4 linked regions of the Lonchura striata genome follow. The protein of the gene in region 4 interacts with the protein of the main gene of each other region in a pairwise test. Links are inferred from orthologs where the notes say so. Each region holds a gene or a part of one and is shown on either strand. Other genes may lie near its edges.

The links.
Region 1: the proteins of PPFIA1 (region 4) and TXLNA interact in binary tests that used the Homo sapiens proteins (3 or more experiments, as listed by UniProt). The link is inferred for Lonchura striata from reciprocal best matches to the Homo sapiens genes PPFIA1 and TXLNA.
Region 2: the proteins of PPFIA1 (region 4) and PPP2R5D interact in binary tests that used the Homo sapiens proteins (3 or more experiments, as listed by UniProt). The link is inferred for Lonchura striata from reciprocal best matches to the Homo sapiens genes PPFIA1 and PPP2R5D.
Region 3: the proteins of PPFIA1 (region 4) and FAM161A interact in binary tests that used the Homo sapiens proteins (3 or more experiments, as listed by UniProt). The link is inferred for Lonchura striata from reciprocal best matches to the Homo sapiens genes PPFIA1 and FAM161A.

What each region holds. Positions count from the first base shown.
Region 1 is NC_134628.1:994,361-1,001,484, reverse strand, and holds the start of TXLNA (alpha-taxilin), read right to left. Parts: upstream 3,076-7,124; 5' UTR 2,895-3,075; intron 2,412-2,894; exon of another isoform or gene 2,294-2,411; intron 1,908-2,293; 5' UTR 1,883-1,907; coding exon 1,774-1,882; intron 563-1,773; coding exon 236-562; intron 1-235. Other genes in the region: KPNA6 (importin subunit alpha-7), read right to left, coding at 5,004-5,188, 5,995-6,173, 6,886-7,013. UniProt on the Homo sapiens protein: May be involved in intracellular vesicle traffic and potentially in calcium-dependent exocytosis in neuroendocrine cells.
Region 2 is NC_134605.1:18,812,583-18,819,735, reverse strand, and holds the start of PPP2R5D (serine/threonine-protein phosphatase 2A 56 kDa regulatory subunit delta isoform), read left to right. Parts: upstream 1-4,105; 5' UTR 4,106-4,179; coding exon 4,180-4,206; intron 4,207-4,493; exon of another isoform or gene 4,494-4,520; coding exon of another isoform or gene 4,521-4,538; intron 4,539-4,978; coding exon 4,979-5,086; intron 5,087-7,153. UniProt on the Homo sapiens protein: The B regulatory subunit might modulate substrate selectivity and catalytic activity, and might also direct the localization of the catalytic enzyme to a particular subcellular compartment.
Region 3 is NC_134605.1:24,993,051-25,000,550, forward strand, and holds the start of FAM161A (protein FAM161A), read left to right. Parts: upstream 1-4,387; 5' UTR 4,388-4,408; coding exon 4,409-4,528; intron 4,529-5,683; coding exon 5,684-5,931; intron 5,932-6,368; coding exon 6,369-7,500. Other genes in the region: CCT4 (T-complex protein 1 subunit delta), read left to right, coding at 112-251, 449-545, 857-967, 1,208-1,338, 1,433-1,667, 2,185-2,298, 2,578-2,595. UniProt on the Homo sapiens protein: Involved in ciliogenesis.
Region 4 is NC_134608.1:54,940,073-54,947,690, forward strand, and holds the start of PPFIA1 (liprin-alpha-1), read right to left. Parts: upstream 3,103-7,618; 5' UTR 2,336-3,102; intron 1,254-2,335; coding exon 990-1,253; intron 1-989. UniProt on the Homo sapiens protein: May regulate the disassembly of focal adhesions. May localize receptor-like tyrosine phosphatases type 2A at specific sites on the plasma membrane, possibly regulating their interaction with the extracellular environment and their association with substrates.

The sequences.
Region 1 (7,124 bases), on a different chromosome or scaffold from region 4:
AGCTGGGAATCCTTCCTCAAAACCCTTGGGGAACTGGGAATCCTTCCCCATAACACTTGGAGAGCTAGGAATCCCTCACCTAAACCCCTTGGGAGCTGGGAATCCTTTACTTAAACCCTTGGGGAGCTGGGAATCCCTCACCTAAACCCCTTGGGAGCTGGGAATCCTTTACCCAAACCACTTGGGAGCAGGGAATTTTTCCCCTAAACCCCTTGGGGAGCTGGGAATCGCTCACCTAAACCCTTGGCTTTCTTCTTCTCCTGAGCTCTCTTCTGATCCCTGTCTCCAGCCTCCTCTCCGGGCCGGAATTCCTCGGTGCCCTTGGAGTTCTCCTTCTCGCCGTTGAGCTCGGGGCCGCCCGGCTCCTGCTCCCCGTTCCTGGGGGATTCGCTCCGGCCCTTCTCGGGCTCCTCGGGCTCGGGGGCATCGCCCTGCCCGCCGTCCTCGCCCGGGTTCTCCTGGCTGGCATCCACACAGTAGGTGCTCAGGATGTCCTCCAGCTGCCGGCTCAGCTCCTCCGAGACGTCGCGGGAGGATTTGGGATCCTCCTGGCTCAGGGCAGCTTGGAAAGGGGGGAAAAAATTAAAAAAGAACATAAAAAACCAAAACAAAACAAAAAAAAAATTGAGGCTTCCCTCCCTTCTCTCACCCAGGGAATGGGAGGTTTTTCCTGGCTGGACTTGCAGCAGGAGAAGCTGCTTTGTTCCATTGTCAGGGAATTCCCAACAGTTTTGATCAGCAGAGCATGACCAAGCCCCTGACATCTGTCAAGAGGGAGAATATCCCCCTCTCCACTCCTTTTTTTTTCTTTTTAAGGGAAGCAGGTTGTGTGTGAGGTTTTTACCTCCCTCCCAGAGGAATTGGCAGCTCCAAGGCTGGGATTTTTAGCATGACAATGGATTTTAAACCTGGGGAAGAGCAGCTGGGATCAAACAGGGATGGAGCAGGCGGAACGTCCTGGCAGCGGGCTGGAGAGGGGAACTCCTCCAGGACTGCACACACACAGGAAAAGGGGAAAAACCCCAGGATTTTCAACCCTGGAAAACCAGGATTTTCTACCCTGGAAAACCACAGTTTTCTGCTCTGGAAAACCACAGTTTTCTGTGCTGGAAAAGCAGGATTTTCTATCCTGGAAAACCAGGATTTTCTACCCTGGAAAACCAGGATTATCTGCCCTGGAAAACCAGGATTTTCTTCACTAGAAAACCAGTATGTTCTACCCTGGAAAACCAGGCTTTCTGCCCTGGAAAACTACGATTTTCTGTCCTGGAAAACCAGGATTTTCTGATCTGGAAAACCAGGATGTTCTACCCTGGAAAACCAAGACTTTCTATCCTGGAAAAGCAGGATTTTCTACTCTGGAAAACCAGGCTTTCTGCCCTGGAAAACTATGATTTTCTGTCCTGGAAAACCAGGATTTTCTGATCTGGAAAACCAGGATGTTCTACCCTGGAAAACCAGGACTTTCTGCCCTGGAAAAGCAGGATTTTCTGCCCTGGAAAAGCAGGATTTTCTACCCTGGAAAACTAGGATTTTCTGATCTGGAAAACCAGGATTTTCTGACCTGGAAAACCAGGACTTTCTACCCTGGAAAACCAGGACTTTCTGACCTGGAAAACCAGGATTTTCTGCCCTGGAAAAGCAGGATTTTCTGCCCTGGAAAAGCAGGATTGTCTGCCTTGAGCTGGACAAGCAGCTCCCTGTCTCGTGGCAGCTCGACGCCGCCCTCGCCCACCGCAGGGCCGGGACCCCCCAGCCCCAGGGGTCCCCCACCTTCCGCGGGGGCTGCAGCCTCCGGAGCGTCTCCCTCCTCCAGCCCCATCCCGCCGCTCCTTCTGGAAGGACGTGGAGCTGCTTTGGCCTCCGTTGCCTGGTTCTTCATCACAGCCCGTGCACCCCCTCGGGCTCTGCGGGGACAGAAAGGCTTTGAGGACATCTGCAGGATTTTGGGAGCCATCAGCAGCAGAAGCTCCGTGCTGAGGGAAGCATCTCTCCACTCCCGGGTTTGTGTCGGGATAATTCCCGTTGGAATGCCGCTCTGGAGCAAGGCAGCAGCTCCCAGCCCGCAGATAAACGGAATTTTCCCTCTGGGCACAACCCCCGCGGCCCTTTCTGTCCTTCCCAGCTCTTGGATTTCACACCTGAGCCAAAAATCGGCACCTGCACGGCACAGAGGGCAACTCCTCCTGAATTCCCTGGCTGAGGAAGCCCGAAATTCCAGCTCCTCATCCTCACCCGTGAGGGGTCGGGATGGTCTCAGCCTCCCCATTCTCACCCAAATTCCCATTATCACCCAAATTCCCATTATCATCATTGTCGCCCTCATTGGGAGCTGCTGCTGCTGGACCGGGGGGAAAGGAGGAGCCGTTCCCGGTCACACCGGGGCCGTTCCCCGGTCACACCGGGGCCGTTCCCGGTCACACCGGGGCCATTCCCCGGTCACACCGGGACTCCTGGAAGGAACACCGGAGGGCAGAGCGGCGGCAGAGCCCGGCCCGTGTCACCGCCCACGTGCGGGGTGTCCGGGGCACGGCCCGGCCCTTCACCGGCACCTGCCCCGCGCCTCGGGCGCTCCTTTTCCCCGCGCAGCTCCGGGGCACGGCGGCGATAACCGGGGCACGGGACAGATAACCGGGGAATGGGAGGGATAACCGGGGCACGGCAGCAATAACCGGGGCACGGCAGCAATAACCGGGGCTCGGCGGCGAGAACCGGCCCCGCACCCCCCCGGGAGCCCCCGGCCCATGGCTCCCCGGGCACCGGCAGCCCCGTCCCGTGCCGCCCCCGTTCCACCGGGCCCCCCCCAGCCCCGTTACGGCCCCGGTGCCCCACCCCCCCGTTAAAGCCGCCCCGCGCCGCCCCCTCCCCGCACCGCGGTGACGTCACGCGCGCACCCCGTGACGTCAGCGCCGGCGGTCTGACGCAGGTGTGGCCTGGTTCCTCGCGCTCGGCGGGCGCCGGTGCCCGGCGGGTGCCGGTGCCCGGGCGGTGCCGGTGCCGGTGCGGTGGCGGCGGTACCGGCGCTGAGGGAGCGGCTCGGCCCGGGCCTCACAACGGCCGCGCGTGCGCCCGCCCGCGCCGCCGCCCAATCAGCGCCCGCCGCGCGGGGCCTGCCGGGAGGCACCGGGGGAGAGGCGGCAAGCGCGGCGGGAGGCGCTGAGGGGACTACAGCTCCCGGCGTGCTCCGCGAGAGAGCGCCCGCGGGGACTACAGCTCCCGCCGTGCTCCGCGCGGCGGTCGCCATAGGAACTGTAACTCCCGGCCTTGCTCTGTAGGCCTGGAAGGAGAAGAGGAAGAGGAGGAAGAAGGGGAAGGAGACTGTATCCTACAACTACCGCCATGCCCCGGGGTTGGGGAAGAGGAGGGTGAGAAAGGAGGGGGAACTGTGGCCTACAATTCCCGACATGCCCGGCGCACGGCTGCCTTGGGGAACAACAATTCCCGCCCTGCTCCTTTGGAGGGAAAGCAGATGAGGAAGAGGAGGAGGAGGAGGAGGAAGGGCGGGAGAAGAAGGGAAAGAAAGAAAGGAGGGGGGGGGAAAAAAAGTGGCCTACAACTCCCAGCATGCCTTGCGCACGACCGGCCTGGAGACTACAACTCCCAGCAGGCCCCGCGCGCCGCCGCTGTTACCGGGCACCGGGGGCCCCTCCCAAGGTCACCGAGCGCCCCCCGGTCCCCCCATCACGCCACACCGGACACCTGCACAGGCCGAGTTTATTCGTTCCACAACAAGGGCCCCGCAGCCCGGAACCGGGTGTTTGCTCCTCTGTTTTTACCGAAATCGCGGCTCAAAAGGCGCCGCGGGGGCTCGGGAGCTCCGCGCTCACCGGCAGGAGCAGCAGCGCCGGGGGGGTTCCAGGCGTGCCCGCCTCACAGCGCTTATTTACAGGAATCACAGAAATTTCACCTCTGTTTTTTCTCTGTGGCCCAATTGGACAAATATTTCCCTATCTATGCTATAAAAAAATACAGAGATTTGCCGTTTTTGGAAGTAAAATGTGCATTTTCTGACTGTGAGCAGGAGGTAAGCCTGAAAACCTGGTGCTGTTGGAGCTCCCATCACCGCTGGCAGGTGGAGCCAAACCTTCCTCCACCCCAAAACCACCCCAAGGCAGGAAAAACCCCGAATTCAGCCCACGTTTCTCATGGCAAATAAAGTATTTCAAGTAAAGATGAAGGTGGGTTTCAGCATTTCAGAGCTCTGAGATCAGTCAGTACAATGCAAACCAAACCTGTGCAACAGCAGCTGTGTGCTTCCTGCTCCAAAAATTCCACCCCAGTTCCCATCTTTGGGCTCTTGTTGCTTTTTTAATCCTTGGAAATACAACTAGCAGTTCTTCAAAAAAAAAAAAATCTAGAGAAAGGGAAGCAGCAGGAAAAAAAAAACAAACTTCCCAGCAGTGAGAGAACTTCTCATTTTTTCTGTCCATTTTCAGTATTTTTCATCAGGGAACTGGTCCTGGCTTCACCAGGATTGTCCACCTGAAGGAGGAAGGCCAGGGCTAAATTTTGCTCTTGGCATATTAAAGAGTCTTTAATAAAGAATAACATGTGCAAAAAAAAAAAAAAAAAAAAAAAAAAGAAGAAAATTTAAATAGATCAAGCCAGGTTTTTGCAGAATTACTGTGGCCAGAACAGCTCCCTCCTCTCTTGTGTCCTCACCCAACCCAAGGCTGGAGGTAAAAAACTGCACTGGGGAGACACCAGCATGAAAAGAAGCCACCAAGAGGTGCTAGCTGTCACCTGTGTGTCCTCCCTGCCTCCAAACCAAGGTGAGCAGCAGCCCAAAGGAACAAAGAGCAGAAATTCCCCTTTTCTCTGGCAGCACCGGGCGCTCTCTGTGTTTGTCGAGTTCTCCCAAACAGGTGGAGTGGGTGTCCAACCTTCCCAGCCAGGACCTGCAGCTGCTCTCCCAAACTTTCCAGAAAGTTTGTGGTGGGTTTTTTTGGGTTTTTTTTTGTTTTGTTTTTTGTTGGTTTTTTTTTTGGAGGTTTCCCCCAGGATTATAGCTGGAATCCTTCCATGGGAGCCTCGGGTTGTTGGAAGATGTATTGCTGCTGGTTCTCGTCCACCTGGGGAGCCACGGCCGCGTCGTCCTCCACCCCAAAGTAGTGCTCAATCAAGTCAAAGGCTTTCTGGTAGATCTCCTGGTTCTCGTGGCTCTGGAGGAATTCTATTTTATCCAAACCTTTGAAGGAAAAAAAGAAAAAAAAAATTGGAATGGGATGAAGCAAAGAAATCCCCTCTCCCTCCTCCAAAGGATTCTGTGAGCAGAATAAAACCACGCCTAAACCCAGCTGTGCCAAAGCTGCCCCTGCTCAGGTTTAGCTGATCCAGATGTGCTCCCAGCTGCAGGCTAATCCCAAATTCCAGCGGGATGAAAAATTAGGGATTTGGTGGCTGCAGGGGGTGGGGAGGAGGAGCAGGGCCTGTGCCAGGAGCCTCCAGCTCTCGCTGCCCCGGTTCATCCAGCGCTGCACAGAAAGCATCCATGCACAGGGCACCCTCAGGAATTCCAGGAATTATCCTTCCAGGGAGAATCAGGACACTCCAGATATTCCATAATGAGAGGGCAAAACAGACACTGCCAGCTCACAGGGAGTTTCAGACCAAAATAGGAACTTGTTCCTCCCTCAAAGCATCGAGAGCAGGACCAAAAAAAAAAAATAAATCCAACAGCAGCAAATTAAATCACTCCAGGGAAAAGCAAAATCTCCCTGGATTTCCAGTGTAAAATTGGGCACAGTCAGAGCAATTTTAGATCAAGAAGTGTCACTTTTTACTTAGCTCAGCTCATTTCTGGCTCATACTCCCACCTGGTGCAAGCCACGATTTTCAGCTTGGACTCCAGGTCAGAGTTATTTTTCTCATCACTCACTAAACGAGTTTGAAAAGATTTTGGAACAAATATTGGCTATTTTGGAATATAACAAACCCTTCAACAGAGCAGAAAAGCAGCTGAGAGAGCCCTGCAGTGCCCAAAGCCCCACCTACCATAGGCCTCCTCGATCAGGCTGCAGTAGGGGTTGATCCCAGTCCCACTCTGGTTGGCTTCCTGCTCTCCCAGCCTCAGGATGTTTTCCAGCCCATTCAATGCCACCAGAACGATCTTGGAGTCCATGACAGTCAGCAGGTCACACAGGGGTTTGATACAACCCAAATTCACCAGGTACCTGCAGGGGGAGAGCAGCACCAACATCACTGCCTGCTCAGGAGCATCACCTTGGCTCCTTGGGAAAGCAAAGGAGTCCAACTAAAATCCAGAAATTTACCTTAAAATACACATTTACTGCTCTGCAAGGTTAATTTTGATGCATTTATTTGTATTTGTATGCAGCCCTATTTTCAGAAATCTTTTTTTTTTTAAGGAAATGAGCCACTTTTGAAATCCAGGTGCTGCCAACTTAAGTCCACACTGGAATTTAATCTGTCATTAAATTTGGACATTTAGCTTCAACTACCCAAAGAGAAATGGAGAAAATCTGGGATCCTCATCCAGCAGGAAATCACAACCCAGCTCTGCCTGTCTCCGTTACTCTCCAGAATCTCTCCAAATTCCTCCTTTGCCTGGAAATTTGCCTCAATTCCACCCCAGGCAGGTGTGGCCCAGGAGGGGAGGCTCAGGGAATATCTGACCTGAGCCACTTTTGAAATCCAGGTGCTGCTTGACTTAAGTCCACACTGGGATTTAATCTGTCATTACATTTGGAGATGTAGCCTCAACTACCCAAAGAGAGATGGAGAAAATCTGGGATCCTCATCCAGCAGCCAGCTCTGCCTGTCTCCGTTACTCTCCAGAATCTCTCCAAATTCCTCCTTTGCCTGGAAATTGGCCTGAATTCCACCCCAGGCAGGTGTGGCCCAGGAGGGGAGGCTCAGGAATACCTGATCTGCTCAGGGGTGCCTCCCGAGGTGGCGTTGGTGATGGCCCAGGCCGCCTCTTTCCGCGTGCGGAATTCCGCTTTCTGCAGGATTTCGATCAGCACCGGGAAGATGTTGGCATCGATGACTGCCTGGGAAGAGAGGGCAGGGAGAGGGCTTGGGATTGGCAGCACTTCCCAAAAGGTTTCCTGAAAGAAACCTCCACTTCCACATCCCCAGGTGAAGAACTTCCCAAGCTGAAG
Region 2 (7,153 bases), on a different chromosome or scaffold from region 4:
CTCGTGGTGGAATTCTGGTCAACTTGAGAGATTGTTGAGGCAATAGTCCTCTACAAACCTTACTTCTGCTGCTGGTATAAGCAACCCAGGGTGAAATTCTGCCATCTGTGGTCAACAAATATTGTATCTGAACAATGCAAAACAGCTGAGGAAATGTGCTGACACAGGATTTCTTACCAGTCAGTAATTTCATGTAGTTCTACAAAACATGTACAGGAAGAACAGGAAAATCGAGTCAGAGTAAAGGTTGGGAAAGAATCTGGGATTTCTTAGCTCAAGGCATGAACAAAGATTACAATAGAGCAATAGTAGAAACTATTGCTATGGGCAAGGACACATTCCAAAGAGTTTTTGTATGTGTGGAGTGATCCCAAATAGGTCTGGAGACACCATGGGGCAAGGACACAGCCTGCTGGACTACACCAGTGTCAACCTCCTTCCCATCCTGTATTCTTCAGAGGCAGCTGCACCTGGATTCACCAGCCTGATCTGGAGAAGAGGAAGACTGATGGAAAGAAAAGGGCAGCAAATGAGTACTGATCCTTAGTAACACTTTCAAAAGAAGGAATGAGAGCTGTTTTTGGCTGTGGATGAGCTCAAACAAATCTCAAAAGACAGAAACCAGAGCAGGAGATACTGAAGGGACATGGAAAGACCAGGAGAAAGTTTTGGTTAGGAAACCACTGTGAGAAAAGTCTCTGGAGAGCACAAAGATATTCAAAGCAGCAGAGAAATCAGAAAAGGGGCAGAGCCATCTTCTTTGAGATGGTACTTGAAAGGGGAACAAAAGCCAAGGTGAGGTAATTCAAGGCAGAACAGACACTGCAAGTGCTAAAGGCAGCCTCTGGCAATGCAGAGAGGCCTGCTAGGAGGACAGCTTTCTGTTCCTCAGCACCATGGGCTTCTTCATCTGCTTGCCCAACTATTGTAAATGTAGGTGAATTTAGTGGAAAGAAATGATGATGTTTGACCCTAGTTTAGAAGGTTGAATGATTTTTTTTTAATTTTTAATTATACTATAATACATTAATATACTATTTAAAGGATATACTAAAACTATATATTTACTTTTTCTAACTACTCTATCTAACTCACAACTTGTGATCCTCTCTTGACAGTTTAGACACAAGTGGATTGGATTAGCCATCAGGCTCAATCAATTCACACCAGAATCTAATTAAGCAATTACCCTAGGTAAACAATTCTCTAAACACATTCTACATGGGGAAAATAAGGAGCAGAAATATAAATTGTTTTCTGTTTCTTTCTTCTGTGTTCCTCTATGAAAAGTCTTGAAAGAGAAAAGAATGTGCCTGGGACACCCAACTGTTTCCTAGCTGGACCATGTAGAGAAAATTATGAAGAGCTCAGATAGAAAGTGGAGCCATACTTCCATGCTGAATGCATCCTTCCTGAAGGCAGGAGAATTCACATGCCCCCCATCCCAAGCTGCTCCCAGTCCCCTGCCTTGCAGTCCTAGGTCAGGGGCTGACTTGTGGCAAGACAAGACTGCTGGGTCTGGCCCAGCAGGTGCTGCAGGTTGGTGGCATAACAAGGCTTGTGGCCCCAGAGCAGGGTGCAGAAGATGACCTCAGGACTCCATGTGTTTGCCAGGAAGAGGTCACAGGGCTTCTCCTGCTGGATATCAGTACAAGCAGAAGCATAGGATTGGCAGAAGCTCTGGCTCATTGCTGCCTTGGTGGGCAGTCCCTGATGTGGGGAGACCCTGAGGGACTCCCCACTGACATCATGCCATATCACCCTTCTGGAAAATTTGGAGATGGGGACCCTCATGTTTTTTTTCTGTCCAGGAAGATGTTTTCCAGGTTTAAGCTTCTGCCAAGAATAGGTAGCATGTGCTGTGGGCAGGCAGGGGCAGATGGAAGGTGGGCAGATGCTGGGCCAGGGAGGTCAGGAGGCAAGAAAGGAGCTGTGGGTAAATGGGAGGCCAGGGCAGGGAGGAGAGCTTGGACGGTAAGCAGTAGTGTGGAGGCAGAATAGGTAAGGATGCAGTGCTGCAGTCAGGTGTGGACACGAAAAGAGGCTTCCAGGAAGTTCTTCATTACCTGGGCTGGGTACCCCAAGCACCTGCTCTGGGATTCTCCCCAAGGGGGCCGGTCCATGAGGAGATGAAAGCTGTCTCCATGCCTTGGCTCAGCGGGATGAGCCCTTCAGGATCCGTGGACACATGGGCTTGGCATCAGATGGCCCTGCCCTCCACTGGCTCCCCTTTGCCTTGCACCCCCATCCCCTTTGCCCACTGCTGCTCCCCTAACCCTTGTCAGTCCCCCACAAAGTGCCCACCATGCCTCCATCCTCCTGAAGCTCCCAAGAGTTCCCTGCCCCTCAGAATCCCTGCCCTTTGCCTCACAGTGCCCCCAGTGCCCAGGAATTCCCCAACCACTCCCTGCTCCTTTGAACCTCAAAAAACCCTTGCCACATTGAGCCATCCAGTAGCACTGCTGCCCACGAAGCAACCCAAAGGTGCTCCCATTTCCCCCTTAGCCCCTGATGCCCTGAGGACCCTCAGATACACCCCCTTCCCTGCAGAACTTTGTGATGCTCAGGGGCTTCTCCTGCTGCCCCTGATAATGCCACCTTCTTACCCTGCCTGCATCCAGTGGGGCAGGAATTTTTTGGAGATGACCTTGATGGCCACCTTGTGCTACGGTGTTAGACGGAAGTTAGGCCCAAACATCAGTCATTTGACACCTGGACAAAGTCAGGGGCTAAATACCAGTTCACTGAAGCTGAGTTTCACCAACCTCCAGGACCAAGGAAAGCCAATCCAGAATTCCATGTGACAGCTTATGACAAGGAATGATGATAACTACAAACTATTCAACTAAGTGGCTTTTACCTGCTCACACAGGCAGTTTCCTGCTCACAAGATGGTTGTGCTGGGGCTGTGGCCAGGGTCACTTGTGCATGACAGAGGAAGAACAGAAACCAGGACCTTGCTCTGCTCCTGGGTATCCTATGGAGTGCCAGTGACTCAGGTCAATGAAGATGATAACCACACTAACAACAGGCTGATGCACTGCTCTTTCAAAACACGCTTAGGGAATTTCTTCCCCACATGCCACACCAGGTTAGCTGAAAAGACTGTGCTCCTGCTGAAGCACCTCTGATACCACCCAGTCCCCTGCTTCTCTCCCCATTCATGTGCCACATTCCATGAGATCCTTACCACTGGCCTGGCTGCAGTGAATGGGAGCTCTTGCACCTCTAGCAACAAACCAGCAGACACACCTTAAGGACAATGATAGGAAGGACTGACATTAGACCTTTGAGACATCATGAACCCTAATGAGGTGCCCCTTTGCCAGCAGGTCCTGCTTAAGTCCATGAAATCAAGGACAGCTTGCTACCTGCTGGTTGCTTTTTGCCCACCTGGACCAACAAACAGGTGGGCTTGAAGGTGACACATGGAGGCTGTTGGGACACCATCATCCCACTGTAAGGATGTAGGACCAGCTGCTAATGAGCTAATCGAGCTGCCTTGCCCCATGTGAGCAGGGAAGTGTCCTGACCCCATGTCCCAGTAACAGCCTTCTTATCAGCAGCCACAAAGCTCTGGCTATGCTGGGCCTCGCAGTGCTCACACGCACGTTTCCATTCACCCTTAGATCCACCAGCTTCCCTTATTCCCACGGGCAGCCTCCCCAAAACTGTGTATCGGAGCACTAATAAGCACCTCGCAAGGCGGGAGTGCAGACCCTGGGGCCAGCTCAAGCTGTTCGGGCTCCTCCTGCTCGAGCGAGGCAGAGGAGAGCTGGGCAGAACAAGGAACCTAGTCACTTTTCCTCCCGCTCTCGAGGAGGAAAACACGCAGCGGGGACCCGAGAACCCCGGGCAGGCGCCTGCCATGTCCCGGGGAGCCCCGCACGCCCGGGTCCCTCCCGCGGGAAGAAGCCGAGCCCGAACCCGCGCCCAGGCCGCTGCCCCGGAAGAGCCGCTCCCGCAGCCCCACCCCCGAGGGCGTGCCCGGCGCCCGCGCGCCCTGTAACCAATCAGAAAAATCAGCCGCCCTGCGTCAGCGGCACGCGGCGGCGGCGGAGGCTGTTGCTAGGCAGGCCGGCGCGCCTGGCCCAATGGGAGCGGGGCGCTGCGGCCGGGCCCGGGCGCAGGCGGCGGCGGCGGCGGCGGGCGCGGAGCGGTTGGGGGCCGGCGCTCACCATGCCCTACAAGCTGAAGAAGGAGAAGGTGCGGCCCTGGGGGCGGCGGCGGTGCCGGGGGAGCTCCCGCGCGCGGCGCCGCGGCCGACAGCTCGCTCCCGCCGCCCCTCCCCGGCGCGGCCTTCCCTCGGCTCGGCCCTCGGGCGGGGGCGCGCACGGGGCTGTGGCCGGCAGGGGGCGGGGGCGCGGGCGCGCTCCCGCGGCGGGCGGGTCGGGTGGCGCAGGAGGGCGGCGGGGGCGCGCGCGGGCCCGGGGAGGCGGGCGGGCGCGAGGGGCGGCCGGCGGTGCCGCGGTGCGAGCCCGGCCCGGCCCGCCCTGCCCTGCGCTCCGCCGGCCGCGGGGATGCTCCCGGTGGGGGAGGTACGGCCGCACCCACCTCCTGGCCCCGCTGCTCCCTCTGCCGCCGGGCTGAGGGCCCGGATCCGCCTCTGCCGCCGCCCAGGGCGGCCGGGCCGGGGCCGTGGGTGCCCCGGCACCGCGTATCTGCGATGAGGCCGCGCCCCGGGGAAGGGCTGTGTGGGCACTGGGCCCTGTCACCCGCAGGTGACCCGACGGGGTCAGCTTGCGGTGACCGGGACGGGAGATGCCAGCATTGCTCCTGGGCTCGGGAGCTTGGCCTCGTCCTGGGCGTCAGCGGGAGCCGCTGAGGATGCCTTTTCCAGGGAGAAAGGGCTGGGAGTGGATGTCCGGAGCAGGGCGTGCTGCAGGAGTGGTCTATGGCAGCACACATCTCTGTGCAGAGAGATGCTAAAATTCAGAACAAGGTGAAGTTTTCTCTGAATGTGTTCTCATCCTTTCAGGAGTCTCCAAAGTCTACCAAAAGCACCACAAAGCCTGGTGGCAGCAGCAGCAGCAGCAGCAGCAGCAGCAGTAGCGGGAAGGATGGTGGGGCAGAGAATTCAGAAGAGGTAAGGCTTTCACCTTGGGTACAGCAGTGTGCATGTGCAAACTCATTTTTGGGGAGGAATTAAATCTTTCATTTTAGCTGTTTCAAGCTCTTCCACCAGATAACACATGTCACCAGGATCTTAAGAAGTCAGAGCAGAAAATTGGCCTAAAGGGAGCAATGACTATGGATGAGACTGGTTGAGTCTCATACCCTGCAGACCTGCAAAAAGACATTTGGCACAAAGCGGAGGGCGAGTGGTGCTCACAGAGGTGGGCAGGGCATGGCAAAGTTGGCTGCAGAAAGGAACATGACATGATTATCAAGAAGGTGGAAGCCTGACAGATGGGAGCAGCTTCTATGCTCTTGTCAGAGCAAAGTGCAATCAACTCTGTTGTCACTTTGTGTCAGAGTGGTAGAGTAGTGAGAAGCAATAGGAAAAGATCTCTTCTTCTGAGGCATTTTCTGGAGGAGTGAGATTAGGAAGTAATGGATAGGAACACTTGAAAGAATAAACTGCTAGAGATTCAATGTCTCTCCTTTGGTATAACAGCCTTGTTGCTGAATGCAGCATTCCTCACAAGAAGGCACAGTCTGTATTCCCAGATGTGCAGTCTCACTCTCATTTTGGATGTTTCCAGGGTAGATACATTAGAATGGCCTTAGCAGAATATGATAGTATGATAAGCTGTCCTTAGAATTAGTGCAAATTTGTGTTCAGTGGAACTTTTCTCATAGTCCTGATTTTGTCTGTCATTCAGGCAGTGGTTGTGGAATTTGAGAATTTGTCTCAGAAGAATGTTATACATGTCTGAGGAAGCATGCATGCATGTATGTGTGGTTTATTTATTTTAAAGCTGCAATTTAGCAAACAAGCTGTGCCACTTCTACATTCATAGAAGCTTGTGTGCTCTGGTCTTGTCTGGAACACATTGCACTTGTAATTTGGAGGGTTGGGCATGGGAGAGATGTAGGCCTAATCAGGGCTAGGAAGAAATGTGTAGTACAGTGGTGTGGTTGTAGTCAATGTTATTTTAGAGTCTTCTCCAAAGCATAGATCTGCATTGCAGAGCCTCAGAAAATCAGCCTACTTCAAGCCACTCAGTTTTGTGCTCATGCCTGACCTGCCATGTGGCCAGCAAGGAGTCAGAGTCTTACTTTGTGTGCCTTGGAGCAGGGAGCAGTTTTGTAGATGCTCCATCATGGCCTTTGCTTCTATCCATTTTGTTCTGTGTATACAGCTGAAAATAGCTTGGTGGGAGAGCTGCCTGCAGACTCCAGGGAAGTGAGAGAGCTCCTGCATTGGCATTATGGGGTCAGACCTTTTATTTATGTGGAACTCTTTGCTGAGTTCACAGCTCTGGAAAGGTGTAGGAAAGTCTGGGTCTTGCAATGGATAGCCAGCAAAGCAGGTCACTCTGATGTGCCCATCCAAATCAGCAGTGGGCTATGGCACTGCTCTCCTGGTTACAAGTGGTGCAGTAAGAAGGAAAGAATGTCACAGGTGACAAGCTTCCTTTTGTGACCTGAAATGGCATGTAATATTTACCTGGGTGCAGGAGAAACTTAGAAGTGATGTGTCTAAAATTCCCTCCCACAAAACATACCCAGCCACTTCCTCATACTCCAGACAAAATCCAGCCCTCCTTTTAGATGGAAAGCTGTGTCTCCTTTGATCATAGGAACAGAGAGCAGGGCAGAAAGGAGACACTTCTGCAGTGTGTACTGCCACAATCTCTTCTTCCTTTCTCTGTTGAGTCTGCAGTGAAGTTTGTTCCCTCTTAGTGTTTTCCTATCTCTGGAGTGCTCTGCTGCAGAATGGAAGAGAGCTCTTTGCTTGATAAGAAGAAATGTATACCAGTTTGAATGCGATTTTCTTGCTCTTCAGGAAACACAAAAAGGTATTTTGACTTTCACAATGTGTGAAGAATTAGGTAATATGTGCTGGGAGCAAAACTCCTTCTTTATGTCAGAAGCAAGAGGTGGTTTGACTTGTGAAACACTGGGAGTGGTGTTGTCTGGTGGGGTTGATGGGCTGAGCCCAGCATGGATACCTCTGCTGTCAGAGTTTCATGCCCTGTGAATTCCC
Region 3 (7,500 bases), on a different chromosome or scaffold from region 4:
AACTGTTTCTAATAGTATTTTGCTGTTATGCTTGTTTAGAACTACAGCATCTTTCATTAAAGAATGTGGCATGCTTTGACACTTGCTTTTTTCTTTTTTTAATTGAAATAGATGGACAACCAAATTGTTGTTTCTGATTATGCTCAAATGGACAGAGTGCTGCGTGAGGAGAGAGCCTACATCCTGAACCTGGTGAAGCAGATCAAGAAGGCTGGGTGCAATGTGCTGCTCATTCAGAAGTCCATCCTGAGGTACGTTAACACCCAGGCACTGGCCCTCTGCGGCACAGTAGGAATTGTTTGGAAAACTGAAGCCAAACACAAATCACACTTAGCAGAATAAAAATGGCTGTACCAGCACCCAGCACTGTCTGTATTTGGAGTTTGATGGCATCCTTACTTTGTACTCTGAAGAATTTGAGCACTGACTCCTTGCCTCTCATTTTCAGGGATGCTCTCAGTGACCTGGCCCTCCATTTTCTGAACAAAGTTAAGATCATGGTGGTTAAAGACATTGAAAGAGAGGACATTGAGTTTATATGTAAGGTAAGGTGGGTCATATAAATGAGCAGCAGTGTTTTAAAATCTACCCCCAAACTAACTGCCTAGCCAGGGCCAGTTTATTGTGATATTTTCACAAGTTTCATGTTTTGACTATAATGCAAGAGCAGACATTGCCCTAAAAAACATTTCTGCTCTTTTGAGCATTCACACTTCCATTGAAGGATTCAGGATACATGTAAAAGCTACAGTCCCTTCTGCATTTTACTGTCATATGCAGAAGAACAACATGCTGTGTACTTGCTGACTCTGCAGTCAGTCTCTGGATTAATTTTTTTTCCCCATTATTTTTCCAGACTATTGGAACTAAGCCTGTGGCTCACATTGACCAGTTCACCCCTGACATGCTGGGCTCTGCTGAGCTGGCAGAGGAAGTCAGTTTGAACGGTTCTGGGAAACTGATAAAGGTGAGCAAGGAACAAAGTGTTAATACCTACTTAACATCTGCCTGATGTTTTAATAACTGGTAGCTGTGGAATTTATTACATTTAAGTACCTGTTTCTAATCTCTGAGTAGCCACCGGCACAGTGGTTTTGGTTGGCCAGACATCAGTGCTGTTACAGAATTTGAAAATGCCAGTGGCAGTGTCTTTTTGTCCCAAACTTCTATTTGTTCCCCAATGTCAGTATCTGGTTTTGTATTTTAGATTACAGGCTGCACAAACCCTGGGAAAACTGTGAGCATCGTGGTCCGTGGATCCAACAAACTCGTGCTGGAGGAAGCTGAGCGCTCCATTCACGATGCCCTGTGCGTCATAAGGTGCTTAGTGAAGAAAAGGTAATGTCTCAGTTGGGTCAGTTAGTAACACTTAAAGCATGATTGTGTGTGCACTTGTGTGAAGTGAGGTTTGATGTCACTTCTGTGCCCTCAGGGCTTTGATTGCTGGCGGTGGAGCCCCAGAGATCGAGCTGGCGCTGCGGCTGAATGAGTACGCCCGGACGCTGAAGGGGATGGACTCCTACTGTGTCCGTGCCTATGGGGATGCACTTGAGGTCATTCCCTCCACCCTGGCTGAGAATGCAGGGCTCAATCCCATCTCCACGGTGACAGAGCTCAGAAACAGACATGCCCAAGGAGAGAAAACAGCTGGCATTAATGTCAGGAAGGTAATGAGGGGTTGTAATACCTGGGTGTTACAGGGGAAATGCTTAACCTCCTTAGGGTTGGACTAAGGAGGGGGCAAGCTGGTAGCCTCCCTAAAATTACAAGGAAATTACAGCTTGTTCTCTCACGAGCTCACCCTGAGCATTGATAATAGCAGATATTATCTGCTTTATGCACACGACAGGAAACATTTCATGTCTCCACAAAAGCGATTCAGCTACAACAAAAGATCCATTTAGAATGATCTGTAGGTAGGATCTACAATGAAAGGTGGTCATGAGTTGAGAGTAGCACCACAGCTTTTTCTCAGTTGGCAGTGTTGACCTTTTTTGTTGGCTAATTTTGACTGGATATGGCAAGTGCTTGGGGAGGGAAGATGTGTGCTGTAATGCCCTTGCTGCAGTTGAAAGCCTTGTGATAGTCCAGGAGTTGACTGCCCTCAGGATTCTGGTCAAAGAAAAAGTGCTATATGCGACTGTAGTGTGTCTTGCACAAAGTGAAAGCTCCTTGTTCGCCTAGGGTGGCATTTCCAACATCCTGGAGGAGCTGGTTGTGCAGCCTCTGCTGGTGTCTTTGAGTGCACTGACCCTCGCCACAGAAACCGTGCGCAGCATTCTCAAGATTGATGATGTGGTGAGTGGTGTTGATATTGTGGTTTGGGTTTTCCCTCCTTCACAAGCATCAGCATGTTGTCATTCATTTGCTGTGCTTCAAAATGCAGTTACTGTGTGAGTGTTCTCAGTTTGTGTGCTGCTTAAGACCCTTCAGCTTTTTAATAACTTCAAATGAATTATAAGTACTGCACCATAAAGCAAGAAATTAGAGTTACTAAAAGCCCAGGATCTTTAAACAAAGAAGGAATTGTGATATATCCTGTGATTTCTTCTGCCTGACTCTGTGTCCTCCCTGCAGGTGAACACTCGAGGATAAGCTGAGCAGAGGTGGGGACCATGGCCTCAAGCTCTTGCCCTAGCACCTGTGTGAATTGTCTTAAACTCCACCAAGACTGATGTACTTTGATCGGGTTTAACTTAAGTTGGTTTTCAAAAAGAAAATGCTGTTATATTAATAAACACACAGTAGTCTACCTGACTCTTTGCTGTTTAATTTCTCTTGGAGTTTATGTTCAGTTACGTTAGCTTTTCTCTGCTCCTCTTTAGGGCTGAAATGTTTAAGGCAACCAGTCACTTCTTGTGATACATTCTAAAAACACCCTTGAAGTGCACTCTAACAACACTTACCTAGTTTATAGCTGCTTCTCCCAAAGCTTTCCCTAAGGGAGTAGTGGTACTGCCCTCAGCGATGCCAGGCTAGAGGGGAGGAGGATCTTTGCAGTGGGAGTACCTCCCATTCCTTGCTTTCCTGAGGTGTGCATCCTGATGCCATCACATGATCCAGAGCCCTACAAAAAGTGTTCTTCCCATGGTTTCCTCCCCCTGGCCCCAGAATAATTGCTTTTCCCAAAGCTGGCTGAGAAGTCAAAAGTACACTGCTCTATAACAATGCAAATTAGCTTTCCAACTCCTAATTCTTAGCGTGACATTTTGAATTAACCCTTTCATCTCCATTATTGCTACATTGAAACAACCTGATTCCTTTTCATGTTTAAAGGAGAGTGTTTCTTCCATTTCTTTTCACATTTCTGTTCATGATTGGTTGGTTTGTTGCATGGTTGGTTGGAGTAAATTTCCACCATGGTGTTGATCTGTTGTGACTTGCCAAGTAGAACAGAGTAACTCAACTACTAATTAATAAATTAGACAATTGATTTAGGCATTAATGTTCTGCATTAATTATGCATTGCCTGTTGAAAATCGCAAATAGTGCCTTACCCCGCAGAGTCACATCCAACAATGATCTTAGTTTATGTACTATGATTAAAGTTTTCATCCCCCATTATCACAGTTAAAATTATTGACAAGAATTACAGCATCAATTGTGTGTGATTTAATCACAGAAAGTATTTATAATTTCACTACATTAAATAGGTCCATCCAGCATTAACTCTGCTTTGTAGAGGAATATGTCCTCATAGAGGATAGAATATTCCTAGGGCAGAATATTCCTGCTTCTGGTTTAGGATAGAATATTCCTAGGACAGAATGCTCCTGCTTCTGGTTTAGGATAGAATATTCCTAGGACAGAATCCTGCTTCTGCTTTAGCCTTACCATGCAATTGCTTACCTGAAGTACAAACTTCAAGACGGAAAACCTTCTTTAATAACTTGAGGGCGCGAAAAACGCAGGCTCGCCTGTGAGAATTGGAGGTTCCCACTAAAATCCTGCAAGAAGTTACCTAAAAATCCGCACGGGCAGCGGCTGCGAGCGCGGCGAAGCCCAGCCCAGCCCAGCCCGTGGCCGGCGGCGGCGCTCGGGCCGGGCGTTAACGCGTCGCGCTCCGCCCCGCCCCGGGGCCATCTCCGCGAGGCGGAGCGGAGAGGAGCCGCCTCCCGGCACCGCCTCCCGGCCCCCCGGCACCGCCTCCCGGCCCCCGGCACCGCCTCCCGGCCCCCCGGCACCGCCTCCCGGCACCGCCTCCCGGCCCCCGGCACCGCCTCCCGGCCCCCCGGCACCGCCTCCCGGCCCCCCGGCACCGCCTCCCGGCCCCCCGGCACCGCCTCCCGGCCCCCCGGCACCGCCTCCCGGCACCGCCTCCCGGCCCCCGGCACCGCCTCCCGGCCCCCCGGCACCGCCTCCCGGCACCGCCTCCCGGCCCCCCGGCACCGCCTCCCGGCGCCCGGGCATGGAGGACGCGCACCGGGCCGCCCGGCTGGCCGCCTCCTGCCTCCGCACGCCGCTCGACCCGCGCACACGGGCTCCCGCCGCGCTCTACGAGCGGGGACCGCCGCCCGCCGCCGCGCAGGTACCGCGGGCACGGCCGAGGGGCTGCTGGGCACCGGGGGACGGGGGCTCCGCCTGAAGCTGCTCTGCAGAGGGGTCACACGCGCAGACACACACACACACAGACACAGACACACACACACACACAGACACAGACACACACACACACACACAGACACACACAGACACACAGACACGCACACACAGACACGCACACACAGACACGCACACGCACACACACGCGGGGGACACCTGGCAGATGGCCCGGCCGCAGCGCCGATCCTTTAATAGGCTTGTGGCAGCGCGGCGTCTGGAGACCAGATGTAGGAACTGGCCTGGCCTGCCCTGCCCAGGAAAGGGGAAAGGGCTGGCTGGCATCGTTCCGCGGGTCGAGAAAAGGAGCTTGGCTCCTACACGCCGGTGGCAGCAGCAGGTTCGGGGAGATGGAGTGTGCTGGCGCTGGGGCTTCTGTGTGGAAAAGTAGTCCTCTAATTTTTTTTTTTTTTTTTTTTTTTTTTTTTTTTTTTTTTTTTGGTAAAGAAACTGGCCCATGACTTTTTAAAACATGCTGCTTAGAACAAAATGAAGCTTTTGTGATGCTGACTAACCTGGCTTTAATAACTTCTCTGACTTGTGGTGTAAGCTTTAAAAATGCTTAAAGAGTATTCACTGCACACAGCTGCAAACTGACAATCAGTATTGGAAATATAAGCTGCACAGAATCCCTGTCATTTCACAGTAAGTTATGGAAATGGAATAAACATTTATGCACCGCATCTGTAATTACTTCTTTTCAGACTGGTTATGGAACTAGGAGGCAGAGAAGGTTCTGTTTGCTTGTAAAGAAAGGCATTTTTAGAGCTGCATAGTAATCAAGGAAAAATTACACTTTACAAAATAGTTAATTTTTTTCTTTTGGTAACTCCTTTTGATTATATTTCCTGTTATAAACATTGATTACAGGGCAGACTTGGGAATTTTTACAGGCTTTAAATAGGACCCTTAGGATAAAAATTAATATGCAACAAGAACATTCCATGTACTTCTACATTAACATTTGTATACAGGTATCTCTGTGTAACTTTAGCAATCCTTAGACTTAATTAGAATAAACCAATATTAAGAACCTTGTTCCCCTTCCTTCTAGCAGAAAAAAAATTATGAACATCTCTTCTAGGATGGCTTCGACTTGGATTCAAATACTAACAGAGAGCAGGCCTCCCCTCCAAAGAGAGACTGTGACACGTGGATAGACTTTTCCAAAATGTACAATTCAAATCAAGAGTATTACTTGAAGCTGGAAGAGTTGAAGAATGCCCACATGGAGACAATGGCAAAACTGGAAAGTATGTATCAAAACAAACTCTATTTAAAAGGAGTACAAGCCTTGGATAAAAGAAATGACACCTCTCCAAAGTGCTGTAGGTAAGTTTGGGGGCAGTTCAGTTTTTTAGCTGAAGATTCCCAAATGCTTTGCAGGCAGCTGTGTTTCTGGGCTGGAAAGTGTTCCACTCCCCAACACTCATAACCAGATAATCAGAGAAAAGTCAGTTTTGAAGATAAAACCACTCATTTCCTTGCTAGTGGTCTGTGAGTTTTAGAGATGCGTGTGCAGCAGGGATTGGGCAGCACATTTAGGAAAGCACAGGGCCTTTCCCAAGTCAGGAAGTGCTGACTTGGTGACCAGCACTAAAACCAGGATCTGCTTTGAGTGCCCTGTGTGCTGCTCTTTTCCCTTCTCTTGCCCCTCAGCCACTTGTTTTTGTTTCTAGTTATGATTCCTTAGAGTGGAAGTCACCAGCTTTGCATCAATGTTGGACTGGCTCAAACCAAGGGTTTTTTTCTCCCTCTTTATTTTCAAGGCCAACTTGGGACAAGAGTTCATATCAGCCTCTTAACCTGCACAAATCCTTTTCAGACTCAGACTTAAGTGATCCCTTGGGCTCGAGCGTATCGGACACGTCTGATGAAGAATTAGTGTTTGAAGAAAACTGCAGCGGAGCTGGATCATCCTTATTTGCTAAGCAGCAGATTGAAAAAATGTGGGATGGCTTCTGCCTGGAAGACTACATTTCCCATGCCAAGCACAGCTTGCCCAGCTCACCAGCCTGCAGGAAGGGGCACAAGAAAGAGAAAGTGTGGTCCCCCAGAGTCACCGTGCCCAAGCCCTTCCAGATGACCATCAGAGAAGCTCAGAAGAAAGAGCAGAATGTCAAATCCAAGTCACAGATTGAGCTGGAAAATCACTTACTGAAGAAGCAGCTGGAGGAGGAAGCAGAGTGTCAGAAAAAGTTCCGAGCCAATCCCGTGCCCGCCGCCGTCTTCCTGCCGCTCTACCACGACATTGTGCAGCGGAACGAGGAGCGCAGGAGGTCTGTGAGGGAGAGGAGCAAGCTCAAGCTCCTGGCTACCCAAAAGCCCTTTAAATTCATTGAGCGAGAGAGGCAAAGGCATGAAGCCAGGAAAATGCAGTTAAAAGACCTTTCCCTGCCTGAAAATAAAACTAAAGTGTTCAGAGCGAAACCAGTCCCAAAATGTGTTTATAGTCCAGATTTCCGTGACAAGGTAAAGGAGGAGGAGCTCTGCAGGGAAATCAGGATCAGGATGAGAGCTGAGGAGCTGCTACAAAATTCATCTGTACCCAACAGCAGACTGGCCTTAAAAGAGACCAACAAAAAGAAGAAACACAAGAGCACTGAAGCAAAGCGAATGGAACACAAGCTCAAGATCAAATCGAGCATTCCCGATTTTGAACTCCTACATGAGAAATTCCAGAAACGCCTCCTGCAACAAAAAAAATTAAAACCCCTCACAGTCTGTGAGCCTTTCGACCTCTGTACTTCATACATTCCCTCAAAAAAGGACAAGATCTTGAAGGACATGCAAGAGGATGAGGAAAAATTGAAGGAAACAAGGTGGCCATTTGCCTCTCCAAGACGGAAGCCTCAGATGGGGCAGTCAGGGGCAAACCCACATCTCCTGGGCGAAGGAAAA
Region 4 (7,618 bases):
AGAGCAGTGAAACAAACCACTGTTTGAAAGGGTATAAACAGTAACTACAATATTTAAGGATATGGGAACATTTGTAAAAGTCATAGCACCATTGTGCCACATTTGGGACAGCAACCACCACACCAGAAAGACCAAGGCTGTCAACAGTTAACCAACACCTCAAAGCAACCCCTGCTTTGCCTACAGCCAAAGGCTTCTCAATATGTTCAAAGTCCAGTTTTATTTTTAACTCAAATGGATAAAACCCAAAGAGTTCTGCAGAGACCAATCACCTTTCCTAACAATGCTCCTTACGTAACAAACCTAGCACTGCAGGCCACGTGCATTCTCCACAAGGCACTAATTAGGAGCTCCTAACAGGACGAAAAAAAAAAAAAAAAGCCAAATCCAAACTTTTCAAAAGTAACTAAACAGGTTAAACAACACACTCAGACTTCTATATTGCCATGACAACTCAGCATGCATTCACAAGGCAGTAGCCTTCAAGGTTTTAAATCAAAGTCTTTAATAGAGTCAAAATGGTCTGTATGGAATTCATAGAATCCCAGAATGGGATTGGAAGGAACCTTAAAGACCATCCAGTTCCAAACCCCTGCTGTGGGCAGGGACACCTCCCACTAGACCAGGTAATAATTCTTAAGTACCTTAATGAATCAGGCAATTAAGAAATAGCATTTAAAAAGTACTAGTTGCAGAAAAAGGTCCATCAAGTTCTATTAGACAAAAGATGTAGACACCATTCTACGTTTATGCTAAGGAAATTCCAGAAACTGGGAAAGCAGACTGGAGAGAAAGGGCTGTTCTTCCCTGCTTTCCTTGCTTTTGCATCTTTCTCAAAGTGAGCAAACACCAAAAAATCCTTCAGGATAGATTCATCTTCCCCTAAGACAACCTAACTCTTCAGTAAACCAAACTACAGAAAGCCAACAGCACACCACGAAGAACACAAAAATCATTGAAAAACCCCTTGCCTTCCCAAACGTCCATACCTGTGGAAGTGCAGTATTGAGCTGCCTCTGCAAGGAATCCCTCTCATGGCCAACCTCATGCAGCTTGCCCTGGGTGAGCGCGAGCGTCTCCTGAGTTTCGCGGAGCGTTTCCAGCAGGCGATCCCTCTCTTCCAGCATGGACACCATTAACTGCTCAAAGTGGGAATCAGCATCTGACTGCAACGGGGAACCTGAACCGTGGCCTCCATTTCCCCCGGTGGGAATCTCGGCCTCACTGATGGTTGGCATCACCTCACACATCATCTTGAAACAAAAACGAGACACAACAAAGGCCAGAAATCTCGGTCAAACAAATCTAAACAGGAACTTTGAGTGCTGCCCGTAGTACCCACTTAGCTCTCCCCACGATAGCATCAGCAAAGGCTGCCAACACCTTGGCGTTTGCCACTATTTCATTAAGAGTGGAGAAAAGGTACACAGTCAACTTAATCAAGGCTTTGCTTCATAATGAGAATCTTGTGACTTCTTGCAAAACCAGATTTTTGCATCTATGTCTCAAACTGTGACTTCATTTTAACGGATTTATGCTTTTTTGAGGAGTAAACTGCTGCCGAGGTCTTTAAAAAAAAAAAAAAAGATAAGGCATGCAGCCTGACACCAAAAATTATACACTTCACCCAGCAAACTATTACACTGCACATTTTGGGAAACATTATCTGCTTCTTCCACTGCTTCAAATGTACAAAGATTGTATCTACAACAGTACTTTGAGCGTATGTTGACTGTGGAAGTTTTATGATGGTGAAAGTAATGTATGGTAAATGAGTAGTAAATGAAAATGGTCCAATTCGGGAGATAAAAACATGTAAAGGAAGATAAAAATTCATTATGGAGTAGTAGCAGCTGTCAATGCGGACAGCAAAAGTAAAGGTAAGCAAAAATAATTAAAGGTAGAGGATGAATACAGTTAACAATGCAAATAGGAGGAGTGCACTACTGGAAGTGAGCACACAACTGGGAGCACCTTTGAGAGACCTTAACAGATCCCTACCAGAGCTAAGGCATTAAGGCTTTAAAAACCATGGAAAAAACCCACTCGTAAATCACTGAACCAACAACACAGTTCTTCAGGCAATCTCTCTCAAAAGCACAAATCTACAAGAACTTAAGCAAAAATCAAGAAAAGCAGCTCCCGAAACCTCTCAGGTACCACAAACTTTGCTCTCAGCCTTATATTTTACACTCACATCTGAAAAACAATCCATTCTGATTCTTACTGTCGGTCCTCTCAATACTTTGAAAGACTAGGAACAATCTGAAGTGCTTTGCAACATTTTCATGCATGATTACAATAAGCCCTGAACTTTCACCACTACGTTATTTACCTTGCTCAACAAAACGAAAAGGCTGTGAAAACAGGCCCCAGGTTTCCTGCAGCACCAGGTCTTCTTCTCTGTTTTAGCAGTTTTCTGTTATCCCCCAAAACCCTTTGGATTGCAAAGCACCCATCCAGCTCCAGTCCAGTAACTGTTTAATCGAAACACATGAAAAAAAAGAATAAACCTGCCGAGAAAAGAGCAGATCCGGTAAAAAGCAGCAGCTTCAGCTAACTCGCCAAGTCCCCAGTACAGAAGAATGTGAAAATAAACTGTCTCAGCTTCCCATCCCTCTATTACTGGCCCATAGGCCCTGCAACAGCTGGGATGGAGGAATCATGTGCTGACAAAAAAAGAAAAAATGTCCGATGCAGAGATGCAACAAGCTTCAACAGTTCATCGCTCATAAATTCCACTCAGGTCACAATCGCGTTACTAAACAGAGTACGGACAGCAGGGGAAAACAGCACGAGCTTTCGTGTAGAGGATTTGGAAAAGCCTCCCTTCTTTTCTCTTCTATTAATTCCAACGGGAAGCTCTCCTTCCAGTTCCCTGCGTCTTAGTTCAAACATTTATAATCCCGAGAGCAAGGCGCTGGCGTCCTTAGGAAGGCGAGCAGGGAGCGAGACCTGTTGTTTCCTCGGCACTAGTCCCACAGACGATGCTCCGCAACCGAGAGCGGGCAAAGAAAGCAGCCGGCAGCTCCGGGGGCACCGGCCCGGTGCCGCCGCTCCCCGTGCCCGCGGAGGGCCGGCTAGCAAAGCCGCGGGCGCAGGACGCCGGGCTCTCCCGCTGCCCCCGCCCGTCTCGGGGAGCACCGGGCCGGGCCTCGCTCCTCGCCTCGCTCGCTCCTCGCCGGAGGCCCCAGCGGCGCCGGGAGCGCGGCCGGCCCGGGCCCCGCGCAGCCCCTGCGGAGCGAGCCCGGCCGCGGAGGCCCCGGCGAGCCCGCCCTCGCTCCGGCCCCTACCGAGAGGCGGGGGCTCCGCCGCGCCGGGACGGTCCCCTCGGCCCGGGCCCGGCTCCGCCCGCCGCCGCCTCCACGTCCGTGGTGGCCGGCGCGGGGTCGGCTGAGGCCAGGTGGGTGGTGCCGGCCGCCCGCGGCGCCGCCGCGGCCTCAGGGGGCGGCAGAAGCGCTGCGCGCCCGGAGAGCCGCGATCGCCGCCGCGGCCCCGCCGGTCCCGGCCCCGCCGCGCCGCCGCCTCCTCCCGCCGCTCCCGGCGCGCTCCGCGGCCCCGCATAAATCAGCGCGGCGCCCACAATGCACCGCGCGGGGCGGCGCGGCCGCCGCTGCCCCGCTCCCGCCGCTGGGGACGGGGGTTCGAGACCCGCTCGGCGCTGCCCGCCCCGGGAGCGATACCGCCGCCGCCCACGGGAAAGCCGCAGCGGAGCCCCGGGGCAGGAGGCGAGCTCGGGCTGGGAACAGGGCAAGGCCGGAGTGGCCCCGCAGTCGCAGCGCCTCGCCCGGCCCCGCTGGCCCAAGCTGCTCCTGCGAGCCCAGGGGCTGGGACCGGCTCCGGGGAGCTCGGGCCGAAGCCATTGAGGGGCTGAGCGGGTCCAGAGGAGGGAATGGACCTGGGAAGGGTGTGAAGCACCAGCAGAGGCTGCGGGAGCTGGGGGCTCAGCCTGGACAAGAGCAGGGGATACAAGAGGACATTGACTTGAGCTGCCAGGATGGACATTAGGAAGACTTTCTTCACGCGAAGGGTGATCAGACATTGGAATGTGCTCCCAGGCAGGTGCTGGAGTCACCATCCCTGGAGGCGTCTAACGAAAGACTGGATGTAGCACTCACTGCCATGTCCTGGTTGACACCGTGGTGTTTGGTCATCGACTGGACTCAATGACCCCAGAGGTCTTTTCCAAGCTAATCCATTCTGTGATTCTGTGGAGCAGAGCTGCCAGGTCCTCGCACAGTGAAGAACAACTTCTCTGACTAGCCTGTTCCCCACAGGAAACTGGGTTTGGCTATGTTGACTATTATTTTTCCAAAACACCATAGAAATGTTTTCCCACTTGGATTTCTATAGCTTTTACTCTCTTCGTGGAGCCTTCACCATGCCCATGAGTTGAAAGTTGAAGTCTGCCAGGCAAAGCTTAGAAAACTCTCTTTCCTCTCTTCGCATTTGTGCTACCACCCTGAATAAAGTATTTGCATTTTGACCCTGTTGTTCCTTTTACAGTCGAAAGCTCTAAAAGGCATCAAGGGCCAGTTAGGCAGACAGAGGCAAGTCATGCCAAAAAGCAGCAGTCGCTGCACAGAAGGTTTTGCAGATTTGTGGCTGGATTATGTGAATTTATTTTTAAACACAACATCTCGACACCTAGCACTGGATAGAAAGGATCGCTAATGAGTCAATCTTCCTTTTCCACACACAAAATTCTTTACACATTTATTACACTGTGCTCTTTCCCTTTGGTATTTGAGCCTTTAGAGTGAATTCAAGTCACATTTTTTAAGTTTTCCCTGTACAGCCATGAGGTCTAGATTACATTTTTGTTTTTCCTCCTGAAGTTTCTAATGTAATCCCATGACTCTGGGAACTGGAACTTTGAGGAAAAAGCCAAATATGATGAGGGACATTCAAATAATGAATTCTGCTGAATATAGATCAGATTTAACACTGAATGTCTGAATAACTGAGGTCTGACTTTTCAATGTAGGAAGAATAGCAAAAAGATTCCAAAGTGAATTGTTATGAATTAATCTGTACATAGGTAAATGCTTTTATTTATAAGCTTTGATCCAGATTTTCAGTGGATGAAAAAGACTTCAGGCTAAGCAGCTGCCAAGGCAGCATCCTCAAGATAACCTGCTCCAGCAATACCAAAACAAGGCTGGAAAATAAAGTGGAGTTCATGGCTGTGTGAACAAATACCATTCCACTTCAGCTCGTCACACATAAAAAATGAAAATTAATAATGTTAGTAGAAAGACTGTTTTGGCCTGATTTGACGAGTCAAATGGAGACTTTGTGGATGAAAGGGCAAAAGGTTAAAGACTGTAACGGGCACAGAGTTGATAATCTCTCCCAAACTGGACACTGCAATATATCCAGTCGGATTAACTGATCTAGGAGCCAGGTCATGTGGAATAAATTAATGAACCTCTGTATTCATGTAGATCCTCAAACATGGAGTAACATTTTCTCTCAGTCTGGGTTGCCTTAGAACCCAGTGTCTTTTTCTTTTGAAACTAAGTTTTGTTTAGTCCTTAAGTGGTTAAAACCAAAAAATGAATATTTTCACCATTCTGTAATCCTACTTCATTATGAAAACAAAGAATCTAGGACACAATCCTGAATTAAGAATAAAAATGGATGAATTCTGTATATTAATTTTCACTTCACCCAGTTTGTTAACAAGGCACACTCACATTCAGCTTGCTCAGCTCTTCACATCTGTGGTTGGATTTCCCATCTAAGAGGCAGGAGGTTTTAGCTGCAGACCCTCCTCAGCCTCAAGGAGTTGTCACCTTTATCTCTGTTACCTTCAAATCACTCTGTACACAAGTTTCAGAGGAGGGTGGAAGTGCCAGTGTTTAGGCACTTTCTTGAGAAATCGGTTTCAGCCTCAGGTGGGAACAGAGTTCCCACAGCATATAAATGTCTGCTACATGAGAAGGAGGCGCTGTATTCATGCCCAAAAGGATGGCCTAGTCCAGGAGGGAACCTACATCCAGAATATCCTAGCTAAGGAATATGCTCCCATGTGGAATACTGCAAATACCTTCCTTAGGCAACAGGCTCTATGAATGCCACACAGAGCCCAGACTGTGGATCCAGCAGAGATTCTGAGGTGCCCCAAAAATATTTGAAAGGCCTGACTTTAAAGCCAATTGCTACTCCCATGTGCAGTCCACCAAAGCCGGGACCACATCAGCGGGGAAGGCCAGGACTTGAAATTCTAGAGAAAAAAATTGAATAACCAGATCTTTGCATAATGCTCTGTGCTGCACGAAATACACATGGAATGATTAAGTCAGAACTCCCAGGCTCTGCAAATACTAAAATATTTCTCAGTCCTATTTACTTTGTAGTACAAGGAAAACATTTTTTTTTTTTTTTTTTTTTTTCATTTCTCCTGGGCATGTAACCCAGGATATACCATCTAACATGAAGAACACCAGCAACTCAGATCTTTTTAATTAAATGAGTGTGATGTCTCTTTTGTAAGTTCAGCAAGAGGTCTGGCTCCCTGTTCATGTAATTTAGTGAGACGTAACACTTGTGGATGTGTCTGGAAAGAGCCCCACATACATCAGTTGACAGCAAAGTAATCAGTCCAGAGACCCAGGTTAAATCTCCACTCTTTGCACCTCAAAAACCACACGCTGAAATTCAAACAAAGACTGTTAAAAAAAAAAAAAAAAAAAAAAAAAAGGGTTGGGAGAAAGGGAAAGGTTTCCTTTATTGTCACATGATAAATTAGATCCTAATGTTTACCCAAGCTCAGCAAAGCAGGCAGCTCTTCCTGCCAGCCCGTGCCGGGTGAGGTGTGGGGTCGGGCCGGAGCTGCCCTGCCCGCGGGCTCTGAGGACAAACACCTGCTGCTCTCCGCTGACGGCTTCGCGCTTCATTTATGCCGAAATTTCCTTTGCGAGCCTCAGAGCCACCCCACGCTAGCACAAAACCTCTGCTGAAAATAGCCCAAGATCGCCTAGACAGTTGTTGGTTATTTTTTTCCCCCTCCCGAGTCGAGCTGATGGTATCTTATTTGCTCCTTGTCCTTTACAGATGACTTAATGACTTAGCAGCAAAGTGAATTTTGAACACATTTCAGGCATTTCATACCAAAATGGATAGATGTAAGAACAGGATTTTTGCCAGCAGCGCTGATTATCCTTTTGTCAGTAGATAGATGTGACCTGGACCATTCTGTTGCCATTAAAAAAGTCTCTAGAGGTTGCTACACAGAGGAGACACTTTGCCTGAGGGAGAAGGAATAAGAGGGAAGAGGCTGGAAGGTGGCCTGTGAAGAAGAGGACAGAGGTAATTAATGGTTATGCCCATGTATAAAGCTAAGTGCACCAGTAAATGTGTCAGCCCTTGGGCAATGGAAGCCACGACTTCTACAAACCTCAACACAGCACAGTCCTTTATATTGACATTTTATTTATATCATGTGGGTCTACACGGATCTGTGCCAGATCCAGGCAGGTGTAAATCAAATGGGAATTGGCTGCTCTGAAACTGAAGAGGGTTTTTGAATTGATCTTAAGATGAAAAGTCCCTATAAAGCCCCTGGAGACCTGGAGAGGACTCTTAAAAGACCAGATGAACTTACACAATTTAT